Caenorhabditis elegans: one gene and its partners. The protein of the gene in region 2 interacts with the protein of the main gene of each other region in a pairwise test. Each region holds a gene or a part of one and is shown on either strand. Other genes may lie near its edges.

Region 1 (6,532 bases), about 15 Mb from region 2:
GCTAAAGTCTAAGCTTGATCCGTTTGGACTAAATAAAAACTTTTAGCCCGAATGTATGTAGACCAAAATGTAGACTCCCTGTACTATATGTAGGTTCTGTATTACCCTGGCTTACACCTGTTGTTCATCTTCTAGCTCAGTTGTTTCTTACTCAAAGTCCTTGAGTTTTCTAGTCCAAAGACCAGTAGGCCCTAAGCCCAAGGAGGTCCAGTAGGCCCGTGAAGCTCAAGACCCCTTGACTTCAAGAATTTTCAACTCCAAGGTCCCAAGCAACCCCTACCCCCCCCCCCCCCCCCCGCTCCTAGTTTTTTTCCTCATTTTTCTGCCAGCCTAGTCTCTGCTAGGCAGGCGGAGCCAGTGTGCCGGTCGGTGCCAGCGCGGTGCGACGCGGAACGACAACAACAACAGAAGTTTCTAGTATTAGTCGTAGTAGTACTAGTTGGTCGACTGGAAAAGTACCTTGAGGTGTCAGAATTGCAGAGAGCCAAAGGTTGGCCTCAGGTCTAGGCTTAGGCTCAGGCTTAGGCTTAGTCTAAGGATTAGGCTTAGGCTTAGGCTTAGGCTTAGGCTGAGCAGGGGACAAAAAGAGAGCAAAAAGAAATCCCCAGAAAATTCAATAATTCTGAAAAAAACCTGACCTTTTCGACCGGTTTTTGGGCTTTTGGACTTAGAAGGCCTACACAAGATTTTTCTAATGCTCAAGTGTATGAAAATCGAACTAGCGTTTTTGATGCCTCGGTGCTTATCACCTTAGAATTCCTATGCCCGTGGGCTTTGTTTTTTTTTTGAATTTCTCAAGTTTGGAACTGAATGAAGCAATGCTTTTGCACCCCCGTTTCCCTTGCTTACTCGGTTCCCTGGTTCCTTGCACGATCCCAGACCACTTTTGGCTCCCCGGTTCCCAGGCCCCCCTTAGCCCCGCTGGTCCCGTACTCCTTCCGCTCCCTGCTTGTTCTCCGCGTCTCTGCCGCTGCCGCTGCCGCGTCGTCGTCATTTTCCAGGCAAAAACATATGAAAAGAGCCATGGGTGGCTCCAGGTGGTGACCCAGCACCGTGTATTTGTGTGTGTATTTCTCGATGCTTGCAGCAGCAGCAGCAGCAGGAAAAAAGAGTGAAATAGTGTGGGGGAGGTGTGGCAGCATGTGAATCATGGATAGATGGGGGGGGGGGGGGGAGGTTTTGTAAAGAAGACAGAAGAAAAAAGTAGAGAACATACAAATACAGAAAGATATGAAAAAAGTTTTTTAGTATGGTACTTTATATTTGGTAAAAATTCGAATAAATATTGGTCCTTCTTCAAGGATCCTTTGGCCAAACTTGGGGTCTAAGCTTAGGCTGAGGTTTGAGCTCAGGCTTGAGCTTAGGCTGAAGCTTAGGCTTGGGCTTACTTATTGAAACCCTATGAGATAAAATCCGGGTCCTAGGCCCAAATTAAGCCTATTCTGCCAGACGAAAGACCCATGGTTCTTAAGTTCCCATTGAGACCAGATCGGCCAATATTCAAGGGCCTCTTTTTGAAACTCTTTGAGATAAAATAAGGGTCCTAGATCAGGATTAGCGTGGCTAAAAATAAAGTACTTAGAGCCCTGTTTGTAAGCCTTCCAGCCTAAGTATGACCTGCAAGATTAGGGCTTTCATAGACCAAATCAAACTTTCAGACCGAAATTCAAGTCCCTATGCCTTTTTTGATACTCTTTATGATAAAATTTTGGTCCTAGATCAGAATTAGGGTTTCTAGGCTTTTTTTGCCAGACTAAACAGGTAGGAAACGTAACTCAACACTTGGACCATTTAGGTTATTTTTGGGGTATTGTGGCCCTTTTTGCTTCATAACTCCTTTTTGGGCCAAAACTAGAGTCTCTAGAACCCTGTTTGTAACCCTTTCGGGAAAAGTTATGGCCTGGCCAAGACTGGCCAATATCAATGCCTTTACAGCCCAAATCAAACGTTCAGACCAAAATTCCAGTCCCTAGACCGATCACCTTTTAGTCCGTAATTTGGCTCCCTACCTATAAAAAGTATAAACATGCCAAAATTAGGTTGCAAAAAAGACCCAGTCTATGATTTTTGGCATTTTAGACTCCGTTAGGCTGAAATATAGCTCAGGATCCTAACACTTAGACCTTTTTGACCTAAATATAGATTTCTCAATTCAGAATTTCAGTTTTTAGACCTCCTAGACCTATTTGAGAGAATTCTCAAAAATTGTGCGATTTCCCATACCCTTATCAATTTTGTGTTGTTTGGTGGTTTGTTGCTCCTTCCTTCTTCTTCTTCTTCTTTTTTGAATGTCATTTTTTCAACCACTGGTCATTCTTTTTCCCACACTCTGCGTCTCTAAGTGGCCAGCGGGGGGGCGCCCCGACGTGCCAGTCGACACCAGGAGGGGCGCGCGGAACGAGCCGATAGAGCGTGCGAGACGAAGAGACGCAGGCATTTTTCCGCAGTGCTCGTCGCGTCGCATCATGCCGCTTCCGCACTCCGCCGCGCGCGAGGACTCTTCGAGAAAAAGACGAAAAAACGTGAGTGAGTTTGGCCTATCTGGAGCTCTCTAGAAATTTCTGGGACCTGTCTAGGCTTGGACCCATCTAGGGTTGGGTTTGGGCCCTTTTTTATCAGTTTTCAAGTGCAACATTGAATTTCAAACGACACTCCGTTATCCCTCTAGTGCTTGATGTTTAGCCAATTTAACTTGAAGTTTTTTTTTAAAGAAAAAGTTCCAAATTTCGGGCCAACTCCCTCTAATCACAGATTAAATTATGAATTTAAAATTTATCAGCTTTGCACCACCGACCACCAAAACAAAATCGATTTCACCACTAGAAGCCTTCAAGTTTTGAAATTTACTAGTTTCTAACGACACTCCGCTATCCCCTAGCGCGCTCTGTTTATCCAATAATTTTTGGTGGGAATTTGAAATTTTACATGACTTTTTTGTGCATTATTACCAGCTTTTTTGCACAAAAAAAAAAGAGAACTTGCAATTTTTCAAACTTTCAAACGACGCTCCGCTATCCCACCAATCGCGCCCTGTTTATCCAGTAAGTTGTCTATTGGTAATAAATGTTTTATTCATTATTCTATACATTTGTAGTTGATATGTAACTAATATCGCTAAAATAAACCAAAATAAAAACATGGTGCATCGATAAGTTTTGCAAACTTAACTTTACCAGCTCTATATCTAAATTGTCTCTGGGTTTATAAAATAATTATCAACTGACAAAATATTGCTCACCTCTTTTTCTACATTAACCCGTGGAAAAAATTACAAATAGCATAAAAAGCCGAGATATTGGCTTGCCTAACATAGTTTGCCCAAAAAAAAACTCGACAAAAGTGACCAGTTTTCTCTGAAACAATGACCTGGTCATTTGAACTGGTTTCTCACCATCCCGTCACTCTTTCAATTGTCTACTTCTGTGTTTGGTTTTTTTTTGGGAGGTTGTTTTCATTTGTTGTTATATGGGAGAGAGAGAGTGAGGCTATTGTTTTATCTTGGGACTCCTCCTCTCGGAACTTTTTAATAATTGTTTCATTCTTCATAATTCCTTACATATTTTGGCTGGTTTTGGTTTTATCGGAATTTTTTTTTTTAAATTAACACTTCTTAGATAGAGTCTGTCGAAGAAAAGTTCTGAACATGGTGCATCGAGGCCATATTTCGGTTACGTTTAGTTAAGCTGTTTTTCATAATTTTTTCTACATTGATTTCATATGACTCAACTTTGAAGTGTAGGGCTCCTATGTAGGCGATAAAACGCCTACCTGCCTGGCCTTCAGGCGATCTCCGCCTGCCTCAATACTTATGCTAAATCATACGTGTTTTTTTTTTCTTTTTTTTTTAATTTGAAAATCATCAGTGTAAATACACCTAAAATGCATAAAAGGGGAAAAAGCAGGCAGGTTTCAGGCAGGCTTCAGGCCCCGCGCCTGCCTAAAATCTAGTCCATGCACCATGATCTGAAATCACTATCAACCCAGTTTTCAAAGGTCCTATCCACATTTTCCACCAATCCCGTTAATCCGTACTACATGTAGGTCAAACACATGGTTTTTGAAATCCAACTAGATATAGCCATAAATGTTTGTATGTGGTCAAAGTTTCTCTCTCATTTTTCCAACAAAAAAAGAACGCACACACACACATATGTTTGTATGTGGTGTCTACCTATTATTATCTATGGTTGGACGGGCATCATCATGTCACCGGCAGGCACCCATAGCTCCGTGCCAGGCCGCTTGCCGCCGCGCCGGCAGGCATGCGGTCACGCGGAATGGGTTACGAGGGGGTAACCTGATACCACGAGTTGGGGTGACCAGGGTATGTGATAAGGTAAAAGGTTACGTATTTGAGTATTTGAAAATAAAAGGTTAGTGATTTTGAATGGGAAATAGGAAACTTTGTGAAATTTAAAAAAACATGGTGCATCGACTGAAAATCCTTCGTCAGCTTTTTGACGTCTTGTATTTCAGTTGTGTTTGGTGTTATCAAAACATTGTCTAGTGACAAAATGTTTATTATAACCTTTTCTATAATAATGTAGTTTAACAATTTTTGATATCTCTTTAAAAAACCAAGATATGATCATTCAAAGTAAAATGCCAAGCACAACTTCATTGGTTCAAATCTTGGTTGTTTTTGGTTCAAAAATTGGCAACAGACAAAACATTTCTTATATCTTTCTCTATAGTTCTATTTTTAAACATTTTTTGATATCAGTAAAAGTAATCGAGATATAAGCTGTCAAAGTTAATCGGCAAAACATGGTGCATCAACTGTTACAGTGATCGTACCCCTATCGTAATTTTTCTGTAATTCTACAGTAGCCCTACAGTAATACTACAGTAGCCCTACCGTAATTTTTTTGTATTTCTACAGTAGCCCTACATTAATACTACAGTAATCCTACAATACCCCTCTAAAACCTCAAAGTTTTCATGTAGTAACTGAACCCCTCCAGGTGCAAAAATTGCTGCCAGGTGCAAAATTTCACGAGGTGTTCGGAAAAGTTTAGACTCCTTAAATGCTAAAAATCTTTTTGGACCCTTGGATTCTTTCACCTCTCCTCATACTAATATCCTACTCTTTCAAGACTACTAGTCCCTAGTCACCAAAACATAAATGACGAATTCCTACGTGCGTTCTTTTGCTCCTTTTGCTCCGCGCGGAGCCCACCGAACGCCGGAGCCAAAACAATTATTATATGCCGTGTGTGTGTGTTGTGTGTGTTCCGCGCGGATAAGAAGAAGACGCAGTTGAGAAGAAGCGTGCCAGTCGCCGTGTTTGTTTTGGCGCAGCGTCGTCGACGGGGTGGTCTTGAAGAGCGGCGAGGAGGCGCCTGGTACCAGTAGTCGGGGTGGGGTGGGTGAGGGCTAGGGCATCAGAGAAACCAGACGTTTTTTTTGTTCGCATGCTTCTTCTCCGCTGTGTGTTGTTGTGCTGCTGCCACCTCGAACGTCGGAACATCATGGCACTGCCTACCGCGTCGGCCGCCGCCCGGGAAAAAGAGAAACACACAACACACAACACCCTTCGAGGAGTTCAGTTTCTAGATCAGCTGACACAGAGTTGTCAACAAAAACAGAGAGCATCATCACAGAGACTGGCACCGCTGCTGCAGCTGACCACTGGGGCGGACGCCTAGGTCATTGTGCTCTGGAACTACCTAGTTGCTTCCCTGAAGTTTGAAATGCATAGGTGTTCAATAATCTTACTGTAATGCTATAGTCCGTGACTCCTCTATACGTCTTGTTCATTCATGTCGATGCACCATGTCTTCCTTCCAACTTTGACTTCTCATATCTTAGCCCAGATTGTAGATATCTTTAAATTTCTAAGTATCAAATCATAGCCAAGAATATAATACACATTTTGTTAGTTGACAACTTTTTTATAAAACCAAAGGTAGCCGAGATATAAGTTGTCAAGCATACCGACGATTCACCATGTCTCCCGTTTTTTTGACAACCGATATCTTGGTTCACATTAAAAATATCAAGAAGTGTTCAACTACGGAACTTAAGACACTATACTTGATAAATATTTTGTTAATTGATAACTTTTTGATAACACGAAACATAGCCGAGATATGAGATATCAAGGCTATGGTCGATGCACCATGTCTTCCACTTTTTTACTGCCAACTTTTTTCTCTTTTATTTTGCATCATATCTCAGTTGCCTTTAATCTTATCAAACCTTTTTCCACTGACAAAATACTTCTCATCTTCTTTACTCCAACTTTGCTGTTGAAAATTTCTTGATAACTTTTTACCGAACCAAGATAAAAGCTGTGAAAGTAGGTCTGCATGACATGGTGCATCGACTAGAAAAACTGCGATCTTTGACTGCTCATATCTCTGTTGCCTTTGATTGTATTGAAAAGTTGTTCACTGACAAAATATGTGTTATTCCTTTTTCTACAACTTTACAGTTACAACTTTTTTGATACTTTTTTTTTTGAAACAACATTTTTTGAAACAGAGATATGAGTTTTCAAAGTAGAGCAGCATTTTGATATAAAATAGGC
Region 2 (6,810 bases):
TATAATTCCTCAAAAATACATTCTTGCAATTTATACCAATTTTCGTAATTTTTAATTTTTAAAACTCGTTCACAACATTTTCAGATTGAAAAAAAAACTAACGAATCAAGAATACACACAAATTCCATTCTAACATATCACAGCTACTTGAAACATTTAGTAAAAATTGGTAGAAATAAATAAAAAAAGTTTTTATAAATTGCAAAACGAAAGCTTATTGATTTCTATTGATTTTGATTGATTTGATTGTTTCTCGCCTCCAAATTTTCATCTTCGAAACGGAAAATTGTTTTTGGAATTAAAAAAAAAACACTATTATAACAAGATTTTCCATTCAAAAGTATAAAAACTATCTGAAATAGTGGAAAATTGGGGAAAAATAATAATTTATAATAACGAGATTAACAAGATTTTTAGATTTCAATCACAACACATTATGTAAAGATACCATTCGATTATTTTGAAACTACCTGAAACAGTAAAAATTGGGAAAAAAGTACCGACGGATAATAAAACGATCAGTGGCATGGCAACTGTTCTCCATATCCCATAAGATTCTTTAAGAATTACCGCAAAGCACCTGAGAAGTTGTAAATCGGTAATTGAGTTGTAAAATGCATGACACTTCAGGGGGTGGCAGAAATATAGAGAGATAGAGAGCGCAGAGAAACGAGAGTACTCTAGCTTCTCTGCGTTCTCTCAGTCCAAAATGTGGTCAGCTTTAGGTGCGTTGCGGTTGCGTAGCGGTTTTTCAGAAGTGGGTAAAAGTCGGGATTGACGGGAAAGTTACTGTGCAATAGAAAAACAAAATTGGGCTTCAAAGCGTTGCGGTCGCGTCGCGGTTTTTCTGGCAAGCATGCAAGTTTTCAAAATTCTTAAATATTTAATAAATTCCGGTTCCTAAAAATAGTTTTTTAGCTTATTCTAATTGTCAATTTAAAATTTAAAAATATCTTAAAAACTAAAAAAGCTATTGAAAAATCGCTAACCACAAAATTATAGAAAATTAAATTTTCCACAAATTCGCAGTTGACAACTTTTTCCAAATTTATCCGGAACCAAGATAGACGTATTAGAAGTTGGTAGTGGCCGAGGTTTTTCACCTCCACGGCCACAAGGCCAACACCCCCCAACTCATTATACCCCCGTGGTCCTAATGTGGTAACGCAATAATCTGTGTGTGCGTATGTTCAAGTACACATACCCCAAAAACTTGCGTAATTTCTTTGAATTTACCGCTATTCTGACATACGGAAATTTGAATATTATCGGGGGAAACGCGTGAAAACGTATTGAATGGAAAAAAATGTTGAAAATAATTTTAATTTTTTCGTGAAACTGGGAAATAATTTTCAAAAAAAACGTGTTTTTTTTTCAAAGTCGCCAACTAAAAATCAATAATCGAAAAAATCAGTTTCGAATTTTGTTTAAAAATTCCATTCCACTGAAACGAAGAAGAAGCCAAATGATTGCACAAGTCAGTTTAAGCCTGCCTGCCTGCCTGCCTGCAAAAAATGCTCCGAAATTTACAGCTCGTGCTTCCAATTCTTGTGATTTTCGGATCTCTGGTGATGAATTGTGGCGGAAAGAAGAAGAAGTCAGCAAATTCTCCGGAAGGAACAAATAAATCAAAGTTAGGGGCTCCAAAGGAGAAGAAGGATGAAACTGTGAGTTGTGTGACCGCGACGCGACCGCAACGCGACCGCAACGCATTGTTTAATTAATTTTGCTGATTTGGGATACGTACCACAGGTTTCTGCCTTCCCTCCTATTCTGAAATGTAAGAGTTTTGCCGAACTAGGCCATTTTGGCTCAGTAGATTTACGGGGCGTTGCGTGTCGCGTCGCGGCTCGGATTTGTCCGTGTGAAGTACACGACACTTTCCCACGCGTTGTCCGGCAGGCGATTGTCAATAGAGCGCGAATAATGCAATGAGGAAGGTCCTACTTTTAAAGAAACAATTCTGATTTCAGGAAGGCAACTACGAGGAGCTCGCCGTGCCACAATAATTTTCAGGATTCTCATTTTTCACTTGAATAAACCAGTTTTATTGGGATTTTTGTGTTAATTTTTGAATTTTTGAATTGGTGCCTGTTTCATGTGAAGCATTTAACAAGTGGAATTTACAAGGGAAAATTGTTAGCAAGTTGAAGTACGAGCGTTTTTTACAGAAGAAGTAGTATCTCCTCAGCCATTGTAGCTATCAAAAAGTTGTCAACTGGGAAAATATTTATAAATTTATGTTGAACATTTTTTTAGTTGGCAACTTTTCACTAGCTCCGATACTTTTTCAGTTATGGTAGTTTTTCGCGCAAAACTCCAACTAAAATTACCGATTTTTAAGTTTGAAGGCTTATATCTCCTTAGCTATTGAAGTTATCAAAAAGATTTTAACTATGAAAATATTGCAAAATTGATTTTAAACATTTTGTTGGTTGACAACTTTTTATTAGCTCTTACACTTTTCAAGTTATGCCCAGTTTTCCCCACGGAACTCCAAGACATGCCCACCTATTGCCACCTCGTTATACATTTAGGACCACCACCAATCTCTTTTGCGGTACATTATTCAACTAACAGCAGACGGTAGTTAGTTAGTTAGAGAACAACGACGCAACGATTGCGCCATTACAGTTCAAATCATCATAAAAAGAGCCGCCCGTCTTTAGAGACCCCGTGGGCAAATGGGGGAGGAGGCGGGTCTAGTAGGGCCTGTAGAGGTGTCCTGTTTGCGTGCAGACTTTTTCTCAGCATGCGGTAGCTCATAAGTTCCGGTGTAATAGTTTGGTAACTGTTGAGTAATACGGTTTTGGTTTTGAAAATTTAAAAAAAATTCTGTTTCAAAAAAATTTGTTTTATTATAATTTTTTTCAACTTATTACTGTGTTCTTTGGAAGCTTTTTCCTAAATTTCTAGCCATTTTCCACCAATTCTCCACCAATTTCCAGATTATTTCCAGATGATGACAGACATTCAACAGCAGCTGGCTGCCTCGAGAATGTGTGATTCGGATTCTATAAAGGCATTCAATCAGATGTACGCACAGAATCCGTATGGAGCAGGAGCTTTTGATAAGGTTTGTAATTTTTTTTGGAATTTTTCTGAAATTTGAAAAAGTAAAAAAATTTTTTTACTGTTTCAAAAATGCTTTTTAACAAAAAATTAAATTTTTTTCTTAGAACTACTCCGCAGCCACTGCTCTCCCATTTTTTGCTCAACATTTCGCGCCATACGCGAATCCCCATGCCACGTCATCTTTTTCCCCGTCATCGTCTTCCACGTCATCCACCACGTCGTCTCAAAATCAGCAGAGTGGCAGCAGTGGGAGTAAGAAGAAAAAACCGGTTCCGGTGCCGGAAAATCAAAAGGATGAGGTAAGAGATTAAATGGCCGAGAAATGAGAAAACTCGGCCACCAGAAAAAAACGGCCGATCTGCTAGTGTTAGATGTGGCCGAGAAAAAATGGCGGCCGAGGTTTCCTGGATTCCTTCTGCCACAGGGTTCTGGTTTTCCTCATTGAATGTTTCGCGCTCCATTGACAATCGCCCGCCGGACAACGAGTGGGAGAGTGTCGTGTACTCCACACGGACAAATCCGAGCCGCGACGCGACACGCAATGCGACGTAAATCTATCCCAGATATGGCCGAGCCAAAATGGCCTAGTTCTGCAAACTCTTCCATTTCAATTTATGAGGCCAGAAAACCGTGTTCTGCTATGAAAATTGAACTGTTTTTTTTAATTTCCGCTGGTTTTCAAAGTGGTGGCCGAGTTTTTTCTCTAATTTCACTGCCACGAAGTTGAAAAATTGATTTTTTTAAACTGAAAATAGAGTTTTTTTCTGATTTTTCAGTGAAAAAACGTTATTTTGGACCAATTTTGCTGATTTTTCTCGTATTTTGCATTTAAATCGAGATAAGTTGACAATTTTAATGTAAAATACAAAAAAAATCAGCAAAAAAGATCCAAAATAAAGTTTTTTAGCCGTATTTTTCTTAAAAAGGCGTATGAATTAAAAAGTCGTATGAATTTAAAAAGTCGTATGAATTAATAGCTAGCCACGTGTCGATTTACGGAGGCCGTGTACTCCTCGTGGAGTTGATTTCTCTGGGTTTTCGTTTGAAAAAAGTATTTTTATGCCAATTTTGCTGATTTTTCTTGTATTTAACGTTTGAATCGGCAATTTTTGAGTTAAAAACTATAAATTATGTCATAAAATGACAATTTACCATCAAAATCCAACAAAAATCAGTGAAAATTGGCCAAAATCAAGCTTTTCAGCCGTTTTTTTTTCTTCAAAAAACCAGTGTAAACTCTTCCACGAGGAGTACACGAGCTCCGTAAATCGACAGCTAATAGTCCAAAATCCTCTCGAATAAATCCAATTTTCCAGGCCTATCTCGACCGGCGCCGCCGAAACAACGAAGCCGCCCGTAAATCCAGAGAATCTCGCAAGAAAGTCGATCAGGACAATAGTGTTCGTGTAACATATTTGGAGAGGGTACGTTTTCAAAATTTCCCATAGATAATAATCCTTTGCATCATTTTTTTTGGCGGGTTTTTTTTTCCAAAAAAGGGCTTAATTGATGACGTCATCAGTCAACAGGTGTCAGCCTGGCTACGCAATAACTTTGAGAACGCGCCCACGCCGACTTTTCCCAATTTTTCAATAAATTTCGGGAATATCAGATGGCTTTTTGTAGATAACCGACACTTTTAAAAGTACTTTTTGATAGTTTTGCAAACGCGCTCTAGTGCACACGTACAGTAACGTTTGTTCCCTTAATGGTGTTCCACTTTTCGATATGTTCACCAAGAATGGTGTTGGAAAGATTTGTTGGTTTGGAGCAGTAGGTAGTGGACGCAGTTCGGTGTGAGCACTCGTTGGATCAATTCCAGGGAGTGGCTTTTCTTTTTTGTTTCGTTAAAGTTTAACTTTACTTTTTTTTCGGACTAAAAATAAAGAGTAACTCTGATAAAAGGCTTAGTTCTGACGGCATAAAATTTTTATCAATCAATTAATAATTATTTTTTCTCCAGGAAAATCAATGCTTGCGAGTCTACGTCCAACAGCTCCAACTACAAAACGAATCGATGAGACAACATTTGCTCCTGCAAAATCCGGGCACTATAGACACTATGGACCCGATTGCCATGGCGAATATGCCGAGTTATTAAGCTTCTCCCCTCCCACACAAAATCATCTCATTCTTGCACACACATTCAAATCCTTGCTTCTGTATCGAATTTCCACACACCACCCTCTCATTGCGTCACTTTTTTTTTGTAATTTTCTGTAAAAATATAGCTATTTTTGAAGAAAAATGCATTTTTTCAAAAAAAATAAATGAGCGACTACGGTAAGCAATTCCGAGTCTGCAAACACCGTCACGGCAGAATGCACAGAAAAACTCATTTTCAAATTATTTTTCGCTCAGTTTTCGCTAATTTCTCCGAATTTTCGCGTTTTTTCTTTAATTTTTGTTAGTTTTTGATTGTATTTTGTCGATTTTTCACTCTTCGAAGCTGTACCGACTGTAATTTGACACTTTCCGCACGAAAAAATGAGAAAAATCTCAGAAAATAGGTGTATTCAGATTTTTCCCCATTTTCCTCCGATTTTCTGGGCATTTTCTGGGCATGTTTTTCAAGCTAAATTCGCTGATTTTCGAGCTAAAGCAACTTTAAAATCCAAATTCTCTAATAATAAAACAGTTTTTCAGCTTACTCGACTTTTTCCCGGAAATTTCTGAATTTTGCTCATTTTCCGAGGTATTCGTGGATTTTCCTCCCGCTTTTGACCAGAATTAATGCTGAAATTCAATTTTTCAGCTAATTGTACCCTAAAATTGGACGGAAAAATGATTTTTCCATTATTTTCCCGGCAAAGCATCACCTGAGTGATTTTTACTACTTTTTCGACGGAATATATAACGTTTTCAGTAATTTCTCGTTAAATTTCCCAAAAAACTCGTTCAAAATGCTGGAAAAAGTCGAAAAAACTCGAAATTCCAAGAAAAACCAGTTTTGAATATTTTCCCGGGGGGTACGGTAGATTTCGTCGTGTGCAAACACCGTCACGGCAAATTGCACAGAAAAACTCATTTTCAAATTATTTTTCGCTCGTTTTCTCTGATTTTCTGCATTTTTTCATTTTTTCTATAGCTTTTTCATGATTTTTTCGGGTCTAAACATCTAAAAATCACTAAAATTGCATAATTCCGCCGATTTTTCAGCGCTTAGAATGCATTTTTCAGCAGGAAAGGAAGAAAATTGATTGATTTCCGTTAATTTTAGTTTCCAGATCACTTTTTGTGAGAATCGTTCGCTTCGGACTCCGATTTTCTCGTAAAAACCGCCGAAAAAGCCTTAAAAAAATGGAAAAATGTGTTTCTCGTCGTCCACAATATTTCAACAATAAAACTAAGCGGAAAACAAGAGAAAATTAAGGATTTCGCTCTCTCCACTGCATTTACGAGCGAGAAAAACCAATTTTTAAGCTGGAAAACGTGTGGAGACGCAGAGAAAACGGGCGCCCTCTCGATTTCTTTCTCTATTTCTCTCTCTCTGTCTGTTCGCTCAAATTTATGGGCAGTCGACATGCAATGGAATGGCAAAATGGATGGGAGCCGCGGCTTGACCGCAACGCGTCTGTCTCCGTGCGGCGCGGTCGCCTGTTTTTTTCCTATTATTTCCATTTTCTGCTTATCAGCTCCGTCCGTTATTCGCTTATCAGGAGAGTTCTAAATTATCACTTTTCGAGAGAAGTTTTTCGTTTTTTTGGTTGCAAGTTGTGTGCGTTTTCGTGCTGG
Region 3 (9,373 bases), 5.3 Mb from region 2:
GAATTTGGCATCAGTTACGATACTCTAACTTCAAAAGACTAGTCTGAAACAGTATGAAACATCAAAGTTGAAGAAAACCCAGTGGAACCTGAAGTTAACAAGAATTGAGGAAGTGTCATCAGTTGGTAGGTATCACAATCAGATTCTTTCAAAAGAATTGAATTAGAATGAACATGACAAGAAACGCGAAAAAAAATAAGAATGTGATTACACACATACAGAAAGAAAATGAAGAAACTGAGAAGGAGAAAGGAATGAAAAAAGAGACAGGCTTTTTGTGATTTCATGTTTCCCCATCTAACCACATTCTCCTCATTCTCTGGTGTTAATTAGCTGCGAAACGAATACGGTTTCGTGATGGTTTCGCTTTTTTTTATTTCAACAAAAATGGGTATATCTATAGAACTTTCTTCTTCAAGTTAATTGGAGGAAAAGGCAATAAATCAGATGTAAATGTTTGGAAATGCCACAGATGATTAGTAAAAGTGAACACTTGGTCTAATAAGAAGTGTCTATTTGCAGATGTTGGGTATATCTTTAAAATTTCATAAAATAGGTAAAATCATTATTTAAACAGATTTTTTTCCATAGTTCCACTGTTGTGATTGTAAAACATTACTATACTTTGACTACACATTTCTCTGTTCGTTGCACAATATTTAAAGTTGTTTTTAAGTTTAATTTAGTTCAATATTTAAAGAATCTTTAATTTCAAAACTATAAAAAATATGTGTCAGTTGAAAAATTTTGATAACTGGTAAAATTGAGCAAAACTGTTTTACATATAAAAATGGTTTCTTTAGAAATCGTTTTTAAAAGTAAAATGCCCATGCCCAAATATTATGGTAAAACTTTTAAAATTTTTTTGAAATAAATATTTTACTGACAGTCAAAAATTAGTGAAGCCTACGCCTATAATTTTGAAAGTCTTTGAAAAAATATCTACAATTTTTTATTGTTTACTTGCTTTTCAATTTTTGTATTCAAACAGTCTGGGAGTTCGAAAAAGCAATTACTGAAAATATTCCATGTTTTTTGAAAATTGCAAATAGATACCGAAACTTTGACTAAAAACTTTGAAAAATCTTAACCATGTTGGTTATTTTTCGGATGTTCTGGATGTTCAAAAATGAGTTTAAAGCATTTTCTTTATAATATTGGTTGTTGTTCTGTTAGTTTAAAACTTTAAATTAGTCAATAAATCTCAATAAAAAATATTCTAGCATAATCAGGTTTATCTACAAAAACGTAACGCGTTCAAACTATTGACAAAACCATAAACAAATCATTAAAAAGGGGGAAATCAGTCAGCTAATGATTTGGTCATCTAGTTGAATGGGAATATCAGAATGATATGGATATGATAAGAAACGAGGCCATTAACAAGGAAAACGACGATGACACAATATGACATTCAACCGTTCCATTTTCCAATAAATCTCTCGGTTTCTCTCCCATCATTTATTGATTTCTATTGTTTTTTATGTTTCGAATCATATGTAGTCTTCTCAAAACTGTATGATTCACCTTTTTTTAATGATGTTTGTATGCCAATTGCCATTGTTGTAAACGTTTTATTCATCTGTTCACAATATAAATCAGAAAATAATAAATTAGTTTTAAAGCTTACCATTTTTTTTCTCTAAATTTAAATTAAAAATTTACAATTGAAAAATGAAATTTTGAAAGTATAAATCAAAATCCAATGAAAATCCGGGCGAGGCAAGAAACGGAGTGAAAAAGACAATGAAAAGAGATACTTAGAATAATTGAGTTACTGTATATGAAACATGAATTTACTATCTAAACCTCTTCAACATTAACACTCTCTTCTTCTTGAATTGATAATAATTCAGTTATTGATCGAATCGAATGACGTGGTCTTGAAGAGGAAGGGGATGATGCCGATGAAGGCTGAGTTGAGGAATTAAGAGCCAAGAAAAGTTGAACGGGATCCAGTTCTCCGACAGATCTGCAACAGACTCAGTTAATCCACTGTACTAATAAATGCTCATCATACCTATCATCAGTAGAAGAATTTTCATCAAATTGATTGCTACTCGTCGCATCATCCTCTTCTTCAATATCTTCACCCTCTTCAGTTTCGGTTTTTTCTTGTTTTAATAGAAAGTTCAAATTGAAGTTTGCCATTGGAAACAGTGACGTAGGAGTGGGTTGTTGTGGTGGCTTGAACATGTCTTGAATAAGTCTTGGCATTGAAGCTGATCCAATTGAAGGGCGGAATAGAACATCAATTATTGAAGTTGTTGGAATAGCGGCAATTGCATTTATACATCTGAAATAGGTTTCAGACTGTGAAGTTTTCAGAAGGAAAGATGGTACTAGAGCGTTTAGTTTTCATTAGTTTTCAATAATCAATTTCGCTTTTTAAGCAAATAGGAAATAATTTGCATTTTTTGTGAGAACAAAAAACACTGCTTTTTTAATTGTGGAATTTTTTATATTTTGAGCCGAAAAATGAACTTTTGAATAGGATAATCGTACAAAAACTATAAATGAACTTTTTCAATTGGTTAATTAATTAATTTTAAAAAAGAATTAGCAACCTTCAAACTAGCAAATACAATATTTAATTAACTTTGATCGTTGCAACCCACTCAGAAAAACAGCGTTTACCTTTATAGTGAAGTCTCACATTATTCCAAAAATAAGAAAATTGAAAAAAAAAATAAAAAAAGGAACTTACTGGATATATCTCGTCGGTTCGGTTCTATGTGTGAAATTCTGAATAGATGCTAACTGAAAGACAATTTGAATTGCACTTGGTGTATCTCTCCACATTGTGAAATGTTTCAACATCATGTATTCTCTATTATCCAATTGTAAACGTTCAATTATTTCAAACGCGTTAGCAACCTGAACATTCATTAATTTTTCAAAATATTCAGATTCATATTACTGCATACCGCATTTCTTTGCTCTGAGCTACCGGATATCGTCTCAGTCCTTATTTGCTTAGAAGTTATGGCACGTGTTTCAGTTGCATGGAGAACAAGAAGTGCTGCCCAATTTTGTTGAAACATTGTCATTTGCCGTTCTTTAGGTACTCCATTCAAAGGATTCTGACAAAATCCAACAAGTGCAAAAAAGATTCGAGCAGCAGTACCGGCCACTGTGTCACGATTCATTGATGATGTCGGAAGAATTATTGCATCACTTTCTGATCCCATTTCCGGCTGAAATGAAGGAAAATTAAAATCATCTACTTAATAATATTAACTTTTTCACTGAAAGTTAATTATAGAAATTTTAGACATAATTTCCTCTTGTATACGATATTTGCTAATTCTTCCAATCAGCTGTCCCTAACAAGTACTTATGCAACATAATCATTTGACACTATGTTGTCCCCACTTAAGATCCATAAGAGCACAATATTATTGAGTAATTTGTATCCGAATACAAATAGAAACATTAAAACATCTGCCCCAGAATACACATATATTCACAAGTTTTTGAAACTGGCTGATTTTTCAAGGTGCTCTTTTTTAAAGAATCTGTCACGGTTTTGGCACGTATTTGGTGTTTAACTGATAATTAGAGGATATTTTTTTGAAATTTGACGTTTTGAGAAAAACGTACCACAAAAAAATTAAAATGTTTTGTTTAATTCTTCGATAATTGCCAATTCAAAAAATTGCCAACTTAACGAATACTCAGCACTTCCGGCAACAACCAAGTTACCGTGTTGTAGAAAATTGCAATTCATTGCAATCATATTTCTGACCATGCTCTATATCCTAGGTGTTCCCTTCGCCAGTAAAATGTTTGACTATGTTCAAGAGTGACAAATCACCTGTCAGGTGGTACTGTAGATTTGTACAGCAACCGACAACTTTTCACCTTTTTTACTTTTCGTCGCCGCCGCGTCGGTGTCAACTCGACCAAAATCCACCTGCGGATTACTGTACTAATTCTACTCAAAATCCTTTTTTCACTTCACTTTAGTCACTGATTTTTGTGAGTGAGAAAGAGAAAGATCGGTAATCATGAGATTTAAATGGAACTATTTTGAAAGTCATTATGAATTCAAAACTAAATTAGAATCGATAAATTTAATTAAAATTATTAAATATTTTGTCCTTGTAACATATCCGAATTTAAGATTCCCACAAACACATACCGAATTAGGAGAGGATCCATGATCGAACATCATCTGTTGTCGTCTTAAACTTGAGTTACGAGGCCCTCTCTCATGTTGGACAGCATCTTTGTTCATCCCAATTTCCAGACACTTTCTTAGTCGGCAAGCTCTGAAATTCTCCAAGTGTCATCAATCAATGTATGGACTCGAACGTAAAGAGCATAAAAGGGGATCGTAACACTAATCTGTGACCGTTAAGAACTCACCTGCACTGGTTGCGGTGTGTTTTGTCCACTTTGCATTGTCCTTCGGATGGACTGCCTTTGTTTTTGCACACGTATTGACGATGACGACGGATTGAACGCTGAAATTTGGAATTGTTGTTCAATTTCAATGATAATTATGCTAAGGAAATTTGAAAGTCAATTCACATTGAAAAAATATTTCATGAGGTCTCAAATCCTAGACATACATTATAATCGGAGCAGAACAAAGTTAATGTTGCAAAATGATTGTAGACATTTTTTGTTGAAGATTAACACATTTTTATCTATCCGGAAATTCAATAATATAACAATTAGTTTCAGCAAAAATTAGTACCTTGTCTAACCAAGGTGTGCGCTTTTAAAACGTACTGTAGTTCAATAAATTTGTTTCTGTCGAATTTTGGATGGTTTTTCGATAAAAATATATGTTTTTTAATAAAATTCAGATGTAACACATACATTTTTAATAAATCAGGAGAAAAATTCGGCAGAAACGAGAGTACATAATTACAGTACAGTTTAAAGGCACATACCTTTTCCCGTTTAATAAAAAAAATTCACATCGAGACCGGTTACCGTATTTTTAGAGCAAAAATGGGAAACTTTCGCGTCTAGATAATACTTTTTTAAAAATTTTCCACTAAAATTTACTCTCAAATTCGAATATTTTAAGCTATCTAAAAAATGAGAGCTCAATAAACATTAAAACTTACTTTAAAGAATCCAGCACACCCGTCGCAGGAAAAAATACTGTAATGCTTCCCCGACGAATGATCTTCACAGACTCTACAATCAACATCCAATAGAATTCGACCTGAAGAAATAATCATTTTTAGGTGTGAAATAGAATGAGGAAATCAAGAAAGCCAAGAAGGAGAGACTCCAATTATTCAGCACTTCCTGTGTCTCTTGCCTGCCTAATTAATAGAATATGAAAAGAGAATGAAGGCAGAATGGAAATGGATTTGTTGAAAGAAAAAGGCAAGAAGTGAACAATATTTCAAATTGAGTTTCTACTTCTTGGATATTGAGTATTAGTTTTGATGTTGTTCGTATGACTTTAAAAAATTAATTTTATTTAACATCATGACCTTTCAAATCAATTCTAGTTCTAGCTAAATGGTGCTAAATCCACAGGTGCCACGTGTCACAATTGACCCGAAACACCTGCATCTCCCACAGAAACTCTTCCATTCTTGTACTAATTCCATCACCTAACTCATAATTCACACCTAATCATTTCTACCATAATATTGAGTCACTATGTTTAATGACTTCCTATTTTACTTATTGGAGTTCTCGTGCCGGGGAGATTAGGAAAAAAAAAGGAATTTTTATGAAAGTTTTATGTGACTTTTTAGTTCTGAAATCAGGGTTCTGAAATAATGTCTTAATTTTTCAGTTAGAAATTTTTTCTCACACTGAAATTGATATGCATTCAAATTATGATATTCACATTAGACATTTCTTCATTTTCTTTCTTCATTCACACAAACTAGTTTAGGTACAACTACAGTAACCCATCTGCACTAAGGCTTCTAGAACTCATATATAAAGATACATGGATTTACTGTAGTTTGTATATTAATGGATTTATCCCATGGAAGAAGTCAAGGTTCAGATTTTGTTAAATTTGAAGACAATGGGTAGTAAAAAAATATTTAAAAAAAAACAGGAGTATTTCATAGGGTTTTCAAAATTTTGTGAAGGTATCAAAATCCTATACGTATGTATCTTGCCAAAAAAGCTCCCACTTTTTTTTTCGATATTATGCACTTCCAAACCCATTTTTAGGAAATTCTTCCCTAAATATTTCAAATTAATAATAATCTACTCTGAAATTGAAATTAAAATGAGAAAATAACAATTTTATGTGGCTAAGAATGTGAAGTATGCCCACCGGGCAACTCATCCTACGTTTATTAATTGCTCAAGATCCCAATTTTAAAATCTGAGTTTCTTTTGAAGTTGGGAATTGGAAAAAAGCTTTCTACAGCTAAAGCCTGGAAGTTTAAGAAAGCTCATTTTTCCAAGAAAGTTCGAAGTAGAAGTTTTCATCTTCTGATTCTAGATGTTGACGATTAACTTTTTAAAATTGACTTACTGCTTGGAACCGACATCTGTGAAACCGCAGTCATCATTCTTGGCGCCAGATTCATTAATTCAAGAATTCCGGAATATTGAGCACACAGATTCCCAAAAGACAAATTCTCTCTTCTTAAGGCGAGAGTGAGAGGCAGTCGGAAAGGCGAAGGCGAGTCACGTCGTCAAATCATGGGCGGAGCTAGCGACCACCACTGACAGCCGACGGAGAGAAAGCGAAGAGAAACGACTCTGAGGGATACTGTAGACGATGCAATAAGCCACGCCCTGATTGATTTTGAGAGTTTTTCTAGTGTACTGTTTTTCAAATATTCAATTTTTTGTTTTCATAGTATCCAGGTGAATGCCAAATTATTCAATTGAGTGGTAGTTTTATGTTAATAGCTCAAGTAACATTGTTCAGAGTACAGAAAATCTAACTGAGGTGCTCTTGTAGTTGAAATGTTTAACTTATTTTGGAAAACTATAAATCTGAAAACCTAGACCACTGTAAACTTTACTAGTGTGTGAAGTTTTCAAGCAACCACTATGATTGACCACACTCTACTCATCTTTTAATTTAACTTTAACTCGGAGTTTTCAATTTTTATTTAATTTCAATACATTTTATCTGCAGTTTGACTTGAACAAATTTTGAAACTTTCTCAATTAAGAAGTGGTTCTTTTCTGGGATTCTGGTTTTTTCGGAAAACAGTTCTGTATCCTTGGTCATGTTATTATATTTGCCCTATATAGTCAATATTACTCTTGAAAACTCCCTTCCTGTCGGATCCTTTTATTGCTCACGGAGCATCCACCTCATCCCAAAAACTTTGTTCTCTTTTCATCCCGCGCACAATCACCACACACTTCTTGCCGTTGTTGCTCCCATTCTTCAGAATGCCTCCTCAAATCTTTTTGGAGGCACAAGTTGAAGGAGTTTTGGAAGACTCAAAAGAGCTCAAAAGACCCGACGACATCCCTGAGAATACTTGACCATTCATTGTCATCAGTAAAGACTTTATGATGAAAAGAATTGGAGCAAAAGTTTTGAGCAGAGGAATGGTAGTTTTGCCGCAAAAAGTTAGATGGAGTCTGGGGTTCTATGTGAAATATGTAGTAGACTGTTTTGAGAGAAAACTTCAGGTCGTGTGAAAAATTAAATATAAATATTATTTTAGGGAAACTCTAGGTTCCAGACTTGCTTGAACCACAAACGTAAAACTGACGAATTTCAAGCTGTATTTTTTACAAACTTCATTTTCAACTTTATTTTTTATATATCAGTATCAGGCATATAGTTCTCTCTCGGAGAGCCAGAACAAAATCGAACCAAAAAACCAATATCCCTTGATTCATTAAAATTTTAATTTTCTTTGAAGTTAGTTGCTGAAAACTTTAACATTGTAACACCGATTGTAAATTCTTAGATTCGTTATTTAATGTTCTACCCCTCTTGTTCTTCAGTAGGTTGTCACAACCAATTCAGTGTAGTCTATAGTATTAGGTTTCTAAGCAAAAAAAAAAACAGTAAAATATTTTTCCAGCTGCCAGGCTCATGGTATTTTAGAACCTAATAAAATTCTTCAAATGCTCATCATATAAATTGAACTCTCTGTGGCTTGTACCACAGGGTACGAACATGACCTCCATTTCATTTTAGTGGTGAACACCTGCATTTCATTTTGATGCTTACGCAATCAAAAATACTTTTTTTTCTCGATTTTACCCAAGAGTAAGACAATGTGTTGGGATTTTACGCAATATCGAGAACGATGCAGGAAAAGGTCGTTGAAGAGAGATAGACAGACGAGGGTCATACAGGTGTGAACTTTTGGAAAACTTAGCGAAATGGTGGGGGGGGGGGGGGGGGGAAGTAAAATGAATAGATCTTCCAATGTTACATTGGATTGTAAATTATTTATCACAATCATGTTTCCGTATAGTATTGCATCCCATCGCTCTATGTACTTGGACAGCTTATGTTTCAGTTGTCTTTTGAGTTGGTAAAAAGTTATCAACTGACAAAACAATTTATATTTTTTCTATAGTGCTTCAATCAGACTTGTGAACAATTTTTCATCACGTAGGCATTAACTTCTCTCGTTGGGAGGCGAATTTTGTGGAATCCCTAGTATTCACAGAATTTCAAAATCCGTAGGAAACAGAACGTTCCGCTTCAAGGCGCACAAAAACTTGATAGCATACGGAAACCGCTTCATTTCTATTTTCAATTTCTAATTATAGTTTCACTGAATCAATTAATCGAACTTCTGACAGAAACTTTCCAACTTTAAATTGTTTGAAATGTACCTGGAATTAAACACGGACTAGAAAATGGGATGATCATCTTATTGTTCAATTCTATGAACCGGAATTCTTTAAAAACTATTAGGTTTCATCCATTTCAAGCCGACAAGAGCTCCCCACAGACTGTTCATCACATTGTTCCCTCTAATCTTCTTCCCACGTTTTGCGCTAAAGTTTTGTCACACCATATGTCGGCTATTTGTTGTTTATAGGTAAGTGGTGTCATAGCCAAAGGCATATAATATGAAGGATATAATAAGCGGAAGCTATTCTCATTCTCTCTTTCATTCAGAGCGGCGTTAGATTTCGCGCATGCACCGCCCGTGTCACACATACCTCGAAAGCCCCCACACAGATAATTGTCGATTTGAATACGCATCATTGAGTTGGCAAAGAGCCGTTTACCGTTTACCGTAGTCGTGAAGTTAGTAGGTAACATGGGAAAAAGTTTGGAAACATTAGAGTACAAGGGTTTCGTTTGGGAAGAAGTGGAGTAAACGGGTGAAGTGATTTGTTATACTTTGTACTGTTAGTTGTCTGATAGAGATACGTTTCTATTATTCAAACTTGAATTTCATTCGAACCTTTTAATTGTTTGTAAGTCCTGAGA

Evidence for each region.
Region 1: the proteins of zip-7 (region 2) and znf-782 interact in a two-hybrid assay, tested with the Caenorhabditis elegans proteins (one large-scale study listed by BioGRID).
Region 3: the proteins of zip-7 (region 2) and nhr-67 interact in a two-hybrid assay, tested with the Caenorhabditis elegans proteins (one large-scale study listed by BioGRID).

Annotation. Positions count from the first base shown.
Region 1 is NC_003282.8:1,063,472-1,070,003, reverse strand, and holds the start of znf-782 (C2H2-type domain-containing protein), read left to right. Parts: upstream 1-2,478; 5' UTR 2,479-2,522; intron 2,523-6,532.
Region 2 is NC_003282.8:16,501,819-16,508,628, reverse strand, and holds zip-7 (BZIP domain-containing protein), read left to right. Parts: upstream 1-2,946; 5' UTR 2,947-2,959; coding exon 2,960-3,076; intron 3,077-3,179; coding exon 3,180-3,374; intron 3,375-4,391; coding exon 4,392-4,499; intron 4,500-5,038; coding exon 5,039-5,176; 3' UTR 5,177-5,719; downstream 5,720-6,810. Other genes in the region: Y51H4A.935 (uncharacterized protein), read left to right, coding at 1,466-1,477, 1,533-1,667, 1,974-2,009.
Region 3 is NC_003282.8:11,166,973-11,176,345, reverse strand, and holds nhr-67 (Nuclear hormone receptor family member nhr-67), read right to left. Parts: upstream 6,599-9,373; 5' UTR 6,513-6,598; coding exon 6,476-6,512; intron 5,186-6,475; coding exon 5,085-5,185; intron 4,470-5,084; coding exon 4,372-4,469; intron 4,275-4,371; coding exon 4,145-4,274; intron 3,937-4,144; exon of another isoform or gene 3,807-3,936; intron 3,198-3,806; coding exon 2,928-3,197; intron 2,878-2,927; coding exon 2,708-2,877; intron 2,297-2,707; coding exon 2,021-2,296; intron 1,973-2,020; coding exon 1,804-1,972; 3' UTR 1,555-1,803; downstream 1-1,554. UniProt on the Caenorhabditis elegans protein: Orphan nuclear receptor that binds DNA containing an extended core motif half-site sequence 5'-AAGTCA-3'.